2 linked regions of the Arabidopsis thaliana genome follow. The protein of the gene in region 2 interacts with the protein of the main gene of each other region in a biochemical or structural test. Each region holds a gene or a part of one and is shown on either strand. Other genes may lie near its edges.

Region 1 (4,920 bases), about 16 Mb from region 2:
TTTAGACTGTTCAAAATTTCTCTAAATTGTACAATTATTAATACTTGTATTTATTATGAGTGATACTAATTTTTTTTAATATAAATTTTATTGGATTTAAATAATCTCGAACCTTAACAATTTGATTAGTCATGAAAAATTATAAATTCTCAAATTTCTCTCCTGAGATTAAAAGAATTCCATCTTTGAAATCCATTTCATTTCATCTTCTAAAAATGAAATCTTGGCACTTGTTGGCTGTTGCTTTAACTTTGATTATATACTGGTTTACATTTTTCTGGCTAGTGCGTATCTTTGTACTCTTATGTGTTTATGTTTTGGCAAATGTGTGAGCATTTTCATTCTTTACATAGGTACCTAAACTTTCATTCTTGTTGGACTTTGGTTAGTTGTTTGAATCTTCTCAATGTCCTCTCCTTTTCAGTATATGGTGTAAATGGTGCTTTAAAACTTACCTAAATTTTTACTGTAGATGGTGAAACTCATTTCTAGTAGTACCTTCTTCAAAACCCAAATTTTTCACTGTGCTCAAAAGACAGAGACTACTTGATGAAAGAGACACTATTTACAAACATAAACTGATGAAGAAATGGTTCAAAACACTGAAACAAACAAAGAACAAAAAAACAACTTGGAAGAATTAAAGAATTGCAAAAGAAATCAACTACTACTCTGCAACATTTCCACACTACAAAAATTCTCCACTCTTTCTATTGACTTGTGGAAGCAGAAGCTTCAGGGACATCAATCAACGGTTCTGATGTTGTTGCTGTTGTCTCTTCCGGTCTAATCTCTCCAAGTTGTGTCATCACTTGTTGAGCTTCAGGTCTTGTTGATGGTGTAGCATCAACACAATGTAAAGCCAGTTTCAGTGTATTCAAAATCTCATCACCCATTGTGTTCACATCATTCAACAGCTCCAAATCAAAAACCTCATTAGTCCACTCTTCTTTAACCGCAGTAGCAACCCATTGAGGCAAATCCACACCGTTTAAGGCCTCACTCGGAGATTTCCCAGTCAACAGTTCCAATATGATCACACCGAGGCTGTACACATCGGTTTTCGTGTTGGCTTTCTTCAGCTTAGAGAGCTCAGGTGCTCTGTAACCTAACGCACCAGCTGTTGCAATCACGCTGGATCCTGCTGCTGCTGTCATTAGCCTTGAGAGACCGTAATCTGAGATCTTCGCGGTTATGTTCTCATCCAAAAGCACATTGCTTGATGTTAAGTTTCCGTGGATGATATTTGCGTGTGTGTGAAGGTAGAACAAGCCTCGAGCCATTCCCTTTATTAAGCTCATCCTTGTAGGCCAATTGATATGTACATCTGGTCCTCTTGCTGCAATTTCAAATATGAAAACAGAGTTACAAAATGGTACTTGTAAAGCAAAATTGTCTTTAACTTTAAGACTTTAGTATCAAACTTACCATGGAGAAACGTGGCAAGGCTTCCTCTAGACATGTAATCGAAGACGACAAGCTTCTCTCCTTTAGGGCCTAAGTAATAAGCTCTGAGTGCAAGGAGATTCGGATGCCGGATTCTTCCCAAGACGTTAATCTCATTCTCAAACTCTTTTTGACTTTTGGTGATCTTTCTCTCAATCTCTTCACTGCTACTTGACTTCCATCTTCAAGTGTAGCTTTGTACACAGTCCCATAAGTGCTTTTCCCCATTATCTCTGCTGTTGCACACAAAAGATCATCTGCAGTAAACGCCATTGGTCCATCAAAATGAACCAGCTTCCCTCCAGTTTCACCTCCAGCTTCAGCTTCCCCTCCTTTCTCAGTCTTTGCGGCTACAGCTCCAGGTCCAGCCTCTCCGCCCTTGGCTTTGGTTTCATTGGCTTTCTTCCTCAGCAAGCAACATAGAACACAAACAAGGATAAGCATAACTATGAGGAGTGCTCCAGACGCAATGAGGATGATGTCTTTGGTACTCAGATTCCTGTGGGATGGTTTCCTTTCTTTTTCAGGAGACGGTGAAGGAAGAGTAGGACATGGTGTCGAAACGCTGTATCCGCAAAGCAGTGAGTTCCCGACAAAAGAAGAGGAATTGAACTTTTGGGACAAGAGAGTAGGAACAGGACCAGATAAGTTGTTATAAGAGACATTGAAGAAGTTCAGGCTTTCCAGGTCAGAAATCGAAATAGGAATCTCTCCGGTGAGTTTGTTTTGAGACAAATCCAAATGTATAAGAGAAGAAATGTTCCCTAGGGTTTCAGGGATATGGCCACTAACACTGTTACCACTAATATCCATTTTTCTAAGCTTAGTGAGTTTGCTTAGCTCAGAGGGTAGGGTTCCACGGATCCTATTATGACTAAAGGAAAAAATCTTGCAGCTGAGTTAAGTTGCAGAGTGAAAATGGGAACGGACCAGAGAGAGAGTTGTGATCAAGAGATAAGACACGGAGATTAAGAGACTTACTACCCCAAGTATCTAAGATTGGACCAGAGAGGTTGTTATGGTCAAGAGCAAGAAACTGAAGGGAAGAAGACCGAGAGAGACTCACTGGGATTTGACCAGACAGTGAATTAAAGCTGAGATTAAGCCTAAGAAGCTTAGAAGAGTCAGCAAGATTCGGTGGAATAATCTCAGAGAGCAAGTTATTGCTGAGATCAAGCGTTTGAAGGAAATGTGATACACCGAGAGAAGCAGGGATTGAGCCAGTGAGACGGTTGTTGAAAAGCTGAACTCCTCTAAGATTAGGAATGAGTCCCAATGACATTGGAATCGAACCTCCAAGGTTGTTGTCATGAAGACTAAGCTTACGAAGAGCTTGAAGCTGTCCGATTTTCTCAGAGATTCTACCTCCAAGACTCTTCCATGGAAGTTGAATGACGATGACTTGACCTTGAGCACATTTTATTCCAGCCCAGCCTCCAGAGCAAGCACTGAATCCAGAACCGTTCCAGCTTCTCAAGAAGCCTCTTGGATCAATCAGTTCTTGTTTAACTGCTTGAAGACCTTGGTAATCAGCTTGTGTTATCACTACACCATCCCAGGCTTGGCTTGAGCAGGGAGGGACGAAGAAGAGGAGGCATATGATTAGATGAAGGAGAAATCGGCTTCGAAGTGAAGCCTTAGGTTGATCAATGTCGGTGTTGATCATACTCAGAGAAGTAATAGCTTGGTTTTGGGTGATAAACTCCATTAGAAGATGAAGAAGAAGAAGAAGAGAGAAGAAAGAAGATAATTGGAGTTCTTTATGGGTGAATAGTAGTTGTGATGAGGATGGAACAGGGAAAGATTTTGGATTTGAAAGAGTTTTGTAAAGAGAGAGATGGGTTTCGTTGGAAAAGAACAACAGAGCACGTGACCATCTTAGAGAGAGAGAGAGAATCTTGGTCTGTGTTCTTTTATCTTGTAGTGAGAGAGAAGTGAGAGAAAGAGAGAGAAGGGAGACAAAGATCAGGTGATGGTAATAAGAGGTTGGGGGGTGGGAACAGTGGATCTCTCTGTTCTGGCCTAATATTAGTAAATGGGCTCCAACGGCTAGTTTCATTTATTCATATTAGTTACTTGTGTTTAATAGTGTTTTGAAAACACTTTGTTTTGTTCGATGGGTTGCTCTTGCTCATGTCATTTTGTTTAACAGTGTTTAGTAAAATACTAGTATATGGATTTCATTGGGAATTTGGAATTACTAATACATAAAGGTAGATTTTGTTAACTAAGTATCAAAAAACGATAAAAAATCATTAATCACAATACAAACATGTTGGTTCTGACAAAGATGAAAAATTTACTAGTATTACAAAAACAAAAATTTTGATTTGTCAAGAGTACTATCATGCTTCGAATTTGAACCAGTAATATATTACTTACATTCAAATTTACCAGTTGTTTTCTTGGAATCTTTTTTTTATAGCTCTTAGTTGTTTGTATGTGAGGTCAACATTATTTAATTTTATTCCAAATCTAAGGAAAGAGATCAAAGTATTGTTCTTCCGAATAAAGTAACAAATAAAGCAGACAACATAATTTTATTTTATTCTTGCAGACCAGCTTCGTTTAATGCGTCGGAGCTGCCTAATGGACACGACACACGAACAACAAACCGCTCCGCTCCTTCACTTCTCCTCCTAACGGCTATATTTGTGGGACCTACAAGCCATTGGATCACTAGATCTTGTAAAGAAGCCCAAAGGAAATGAACAAGCCATTTTATTTATGGTTACTGACTAAAATGCCCTCGCAAATGGAAAGTAAATAAAGTAGTACAGTTTCAGAAGAAGCAGACACACAACTTTGAAACTTGAAAGTGAAACTTTTCCTGGCTTACAATTAAACAAAGAAAAGAAGGGAAGGGTTGTGCCGTACGAGGTTATTATGTTGACGCTGATCTATCTTTGCCCTTTTTAACATAAGGCTGGTACACGTGTTTAAAGTGTTTGGATACTAGATGTGGAGGTTTTGAACTTCAATTTTTTTAAAAATTCTTGCATATACATTTTTCACTTCAAACACATTTTCTGAACATATACCAAACCTGACCATTTCTCTTATGAACAAGTCATCTCTATAATGAAGTCTATAATGACATATCACTCCTGTGGTTGCAAGAACAAAATTCTGGAGACACTCTTACCTTGAACTCAAATGGTATGTCATGTATTGTAAATACTATATCACAAGATTAGTAATTCTCAAGCCATAAGGTTTGGAGGAATCGAAACAAGATGGTTTCCGAAGGCGAATTTTATCATGCTGATGAAGCTGTTGCTAAAGCAATTAGATATTAGCCCCGGGAAAAATAAAGTCCAAACAATCTCTCAAAGTTAAACTGTACTCAAACCATCAACCTCGAACCCCAAAGCAAAGCCTAATTTTGTGAACAATAAACCAACTAACAATGCCCTACTTTTATAATCGGATCATCCTCATGTCCACCAAATCTGTTAATAAGTTTTATATTTC
Region 2 (4,818 bases):
ATATTCATTTGTTACATTAATAATTTACTATTTCTTTAGTAATCACTACTTTTATTGCTAGATTTAGTTCCAAAAAAAAACTTTATTTTGAAAAAAAAAACTTTATTTTGAACTTTACTAAGGAAAAATCTTGATTAGTAATCCTAGTGATACCAATATATCATTAGATAATATCTAATCTATATGTCTAAACACACGTGGACCTTTGGAATCAAACTCTTTTCTACCTAAAACAAAAACAAAATTCAGAAGATTTCAAGATGCTTTATTTCTTACGTTTTCATTATTGTATTCGTTTCAAAAAAAAATAAGAATAGTGCAAGTTAGAATGATGTTACGGTGGGACTCGGAAGATGGTATTTTTACTCAAATATCATGATTCACCTTTCGATACATGAATATTAGCTTAGTGCGGAAGGTAAAATTGTGAGAAACATCTATGTGTAATGAATTTGAATTGACTGTCATTTGTTTAGTACCTATAAAATGCCAAAAGGCAAACATCATAGAAAAATAAATAAACAGACCAACGAAAAGGTTTCTTGCCTAACATTCTTCTTTTATAGAAGATCATCATTGGTGGTTTGAATGATGCTTCAGACACAAGAAAATCTAGCTCAAACAATTACTCAAAAGAAAAAGAGTTAAAAAAATGCTTTTAGGTACACATGCAAATCTCCAATGTCATAATAACCAAACATAGCTTTAAGATTTTGCGGTTGGATTGTGTCAAAAATGTCCTATGCCATGTTCTAACCTAACTAGTGAAACACAATCTAACTCAGAGATTAAGAGAAGTTCAAAAACGTGCACAAGAGTCTGCAGCAGAATGATCTCAGGCAATCTAGTGAAGTTAAATCTGTTCCATATGACCAAAGTTAAGAAAGATATGCAAAATATTAATACACTCATGAAGCCTAGATAAGTTTCAGTTTCTCTTTCAACAATTAAAGACTCAAATCTAAAATATATCAATTACGACACTGCATCACTAAATTCTAGTTATTACCCAAATCGTTGTTGTTGTTGACAATCGCATTGATGTTGTTCTTGCGGCTGTGATGATGATCATTACTGGTGTTTCCCATTCTCCTCCCATGTTGCTGCTTAAGTTGTGATATCTCCAATTGAGTCTTCACAAAGAACTGCATTCTCTGCAACTCAAGCTCCTTCAAGAACTTCATCCTCTCTTTCTCCATCTCAACCACCTGTTGCAGTTTCGCATTCTCTGTTTGCTCATAAGCTTCACCGAATCTCATGATTGCCCGAGTCAGCTCCCTCCATTTGTTCCCCACTCCATCACCATCTTGCTTCTTCTTCTCCTCCGTCTTCATCCTCTTCGACAGAGGAGGAGGTGGTAAACTGTCACCGGAATCATCTGACATTGCTGCTTCAGATTCCGAGTCTGAATCAGAAGCGTTCCTCTTCCTGAAACGCCAGCGTTTCGACTCACTACACCTTTTCACCATCATCCCTTGCTGCTGTTGCTGTGGCAGTGTCCTACCTTGCTGTGGCAGAGTCCTCCCTTGCTGTCCAAACGGAGCTGAACGGCTACTCATCGGAATTCCCATAGGTACATTGACAGATCCTCCTCCGCCTCCTCCACCACTGCCACCGAAAGAAGCAGCTGAGACTCTAGCCGTAGCTCCAATTAACCGGTCAAGATTATTGAAAGGCGGTGTTGCAGCCTTAGCTTGCTGATGGTACAGATTCGAACGACTTCCCATTGGAATACCCATAGGAATCTTATGCAATCCTCCGACAGGACCGCTGACTCCAGAAGTTGCCGTCGGGATCTTCGCCGTTGATCCAATCAGACGGTCAAGCTTGTCGAAGAACACCCATCTGCTACGGCCACCGCCGTTAGCGATTCTCACCTTCTCTTGTTTATACTTCTTCTTCACCGTATCGATCCTATTCTTACACTGTATATCAGTTTTGGGAATTTTACCGTAATCCTCTCTGCTGCTCACAATCTCAGCCACCTCTTTCCAGTGCTTCTGCTTCAGATTCCCTCTGCTAAGCTCCAAGTATCTCTCACCCCACGCATCAATCAACACAGCCGTAGCTGCTTCGCTCCAACAATCCTCCCTCCCGCCGCCGCCGGTTGGTCTCCCACTGCTGTTATTCCCTCCACCGCTGGCCTGAATCGGAAGCAGCGCCAGAGCCAACGCATCCGGATCCTTCTGCGACGAATTACCCGGAGGAGTCAGAGAATAAGAAGGCGGACCTGCCGAAGCCACCGTAACCGTGATTCGTCCCGCCGGCGGGGAGGAAGACGGATCAGGTGAATCGGAACCCTGAGATCGGATGTCTTCATCGTCCTCCATGGAATTCGATATCGCCGGATCTGAGTCAGAAGCTCGTGAAAGAGGGAGATAGGGTTAGGGTTTGGGTTAATATTCTGTTCGGGAGGGGTAAACGGGAAGGAGACGGCGTCGGTGAGTAGAGGGGACACGTGGAAGGACGTGAGAAGATACGGGGAGATGACGTGGAATGACGTGATTGGTAGGTCAGAGGTAAGATTCCGTCACCGGTAAAGTTGCCGGCTCGGTTTAGGGGTAAAAGATGGGTTTGTATCGTAATTTCCCCATTTCTTCGTAATCCGATGAGGAAGTGTATTGACGGAAAAGCCCATCTAGTTTTACTATAATTACCGGAACTATCCCCGTGAACCATTTTTCCGGTGATGTACCGAAATTACCCTTAGCCTAACCGTCAGTTTCAATATCGGTCGTAGACTTTTTTTAGTCCGTCGATAGTTTCCAGTTGTCTTCCTTCGTTGTCTTGCTTCATTCGTTAAATCGATTCGAATTAGTCTCTCTTTTAACAATAAGAACGGTGACGTGGATGTTATTTACTTTGGGCATGGGTTTTTATTGGGCTTTCCATACGCTACGTTAGCATGTTATCACTTAGTATCATTTTTTCTTTTCACCATTGTCAAAGATACAACTTTAAACATTCCAGAAATACTATGTTTCAAAAAGACCTTATATAATCTTCGTGAATTGTGAAACAAACAGAAATTTAATATTTCTCAAATCTCAAAACACCAAAAGCGACCATTATGTTATGTACACAGCAAATATATATATACAAAGAAAAGTAGTTTGGGATACTTCTTCTTCTCGTAGAAATACCTTGTAATATTTTTCAACGGTCCAATGCGTTTAGCACAATCCTGCAGTATTACCGGACGTTAATTAGATATGGTGGTACTAATGAAAGCGATAATGCGTTGGATAAAATGAAGTATAGTTTGAGAGGAAAGAAAAGAGAGGGAGATCAAACCAATCGCAAGCATTGAGACTTGTAGCATGTGTTTCACTTGGTGTTCCAGCTGCATACAAATGATTTTGGTAATCATTAATTTACAAATCCATAATACTCTCAAGCTAATAATGATTATGGATGTCAAAATAAAAAAAAAAAATAATAAAAAAAAGCTTATAATGACTATGAACATATGTATCACCTTGCAAAGTCTTTAATTTACATGAATATATAGGGTTTTAACTGCTCATAACACAAGCATAGAAGATAAAAAAAAAGTGGATCAGAAAGGATTTTTAAAAAAGGTAACATAAGAGTCAAAGGGGAAACGGGGTTGCTTGAACGGTCAGGAGAATTCGGGACACGTTTCAGATCCACCATCAACTTCCGGTTGGCACTTTCACCGGATATGTGGTTTCTCAACTTCCCGAGACCATTTTCCGGCGTTGGACCGGCCAAAGTTTCATCCCACAACTTGTGCGAAAAACCCATATCTCTGATCAAATTATTAGAAGGGTTTTTCTTGTTAATTGTCTCTAATGTGTTTTGAAAAGAGTTTTTTTTTTGTTAAGTCTTCTTTATGTGAGGATAATGGTTTTATATAAGGAACAGGAACGAGAAGCGTTGAATATCCTTGGTTAGACTAATTATATACACTTTACCTATAATTTAACCTTCCAAAATTAAGGAGATTTAATCAAGGATGATGATAAATCTAGCCGATAAGAAGATAACTTAGAGAAGTGTGACATGTTTTGCTTCTATCTTACATGATAGTTTGATGCCGTCAATTTGATTTATGTGATGGGCCTGTACCTGGGCCAATTCTTGATTAGGCCTGCATTAAAATATTCTGCCAACGGCTAGAAACTTTTTCTCTTCTTCTATAAATTTACTTTTTTTGGCCTAATCCCGGAGGTTCTTCATTATTTCGTCAGAACAACATTGAAAAGTTACCGTTAAACACTCTAAGCGCTCTTCTTCATCTTCTTATACACTTCTCTTCCAACAAGAATCTCACCAAGAAACTTCTTCACTTTTACAAAGGTAATCTCTTTCTTCCTTCTGATTTAGGTTCACATTATAGACTGTTCTTCTTGCGATTGTTTGTTCTTCTTTTCGTATGTCGCTACTTGATTCGTTCTGGGTTTCTGGGGTCTGTGGTGTTAAATTTGCTTGAGGATCGAATTGGGTTTTGTGAAAAAAACGATCTTTGTTTCGATTTCGAGTTGGGTTTCTGTTACCTTTTTTAGGGTTTCTAATTGCTTAAAATCGTCAGTTCTGGAATCAAATCTTCGTTTCTGCAATTGGTTCTTTGATGATTCACAGTTAAAACCATATGGCGAACATGAACGCTCTTCAACAAATGATCTTCCCAGACGAGAACGCTCCAATTCATCGCAAAAGTAGTTAATCTTTCTCTACTCTCTTTAAATCATATTGCTTTGAAACAAAGATTTAACATTTTCTTTCTTGGCTATTATTTACAGAGTCTGTCACTGCTGCTTCTGTGAAATCCAAAGGGACTGTACTTGGTCAGAA

What was found.
Region 1: the proteins of ASIL2 (region 2) and MRLK form a complex in vitro, tested with the Arabidopsis thaliana proteins (one study listed by BioGRID).

Annotation. Positions count from the first base shown.
Region 1 is NC_003074.8:20,816,364-20,821,283, forward strand, and holds MRLK (meristematic receptor-like kinase), read right to left. Parts: upstream 3,155-4,920; coding exon 2,424-3,154; coding exon of another isoform or gene 2,312-2,423; coding exon 1,498-2,311; coding exon of another isoform or gene 1,429-1,497; intron 1,340-1,428; coding exon of another isoform or gene 711-1,339; 3' UTR 558-710; downstream 1-557. UniProt on the Arabidopsis thaliana protein: Can phosphorylate AGL24.
Region 2 is NC_003074.8:4,706,292-4,711,109, forward strand, and holds ASIL2 (sequence-specific DNA binding transcription factor), read right to left. Parts: upstream 2,886-4,818; 5' UTR 2,331-2,885; coding exon 999-2,330; 3' UTR 511-998; downstream 1-510. Other genes in the region: AT3G14190 (uncharacterized protein), read left to right, coding at 4,616-4,682, 4,767-4,818. UniProt on the Arabidopsis thaliana protein: Transcription regulator that may repress the maturation program during early embryogenesis.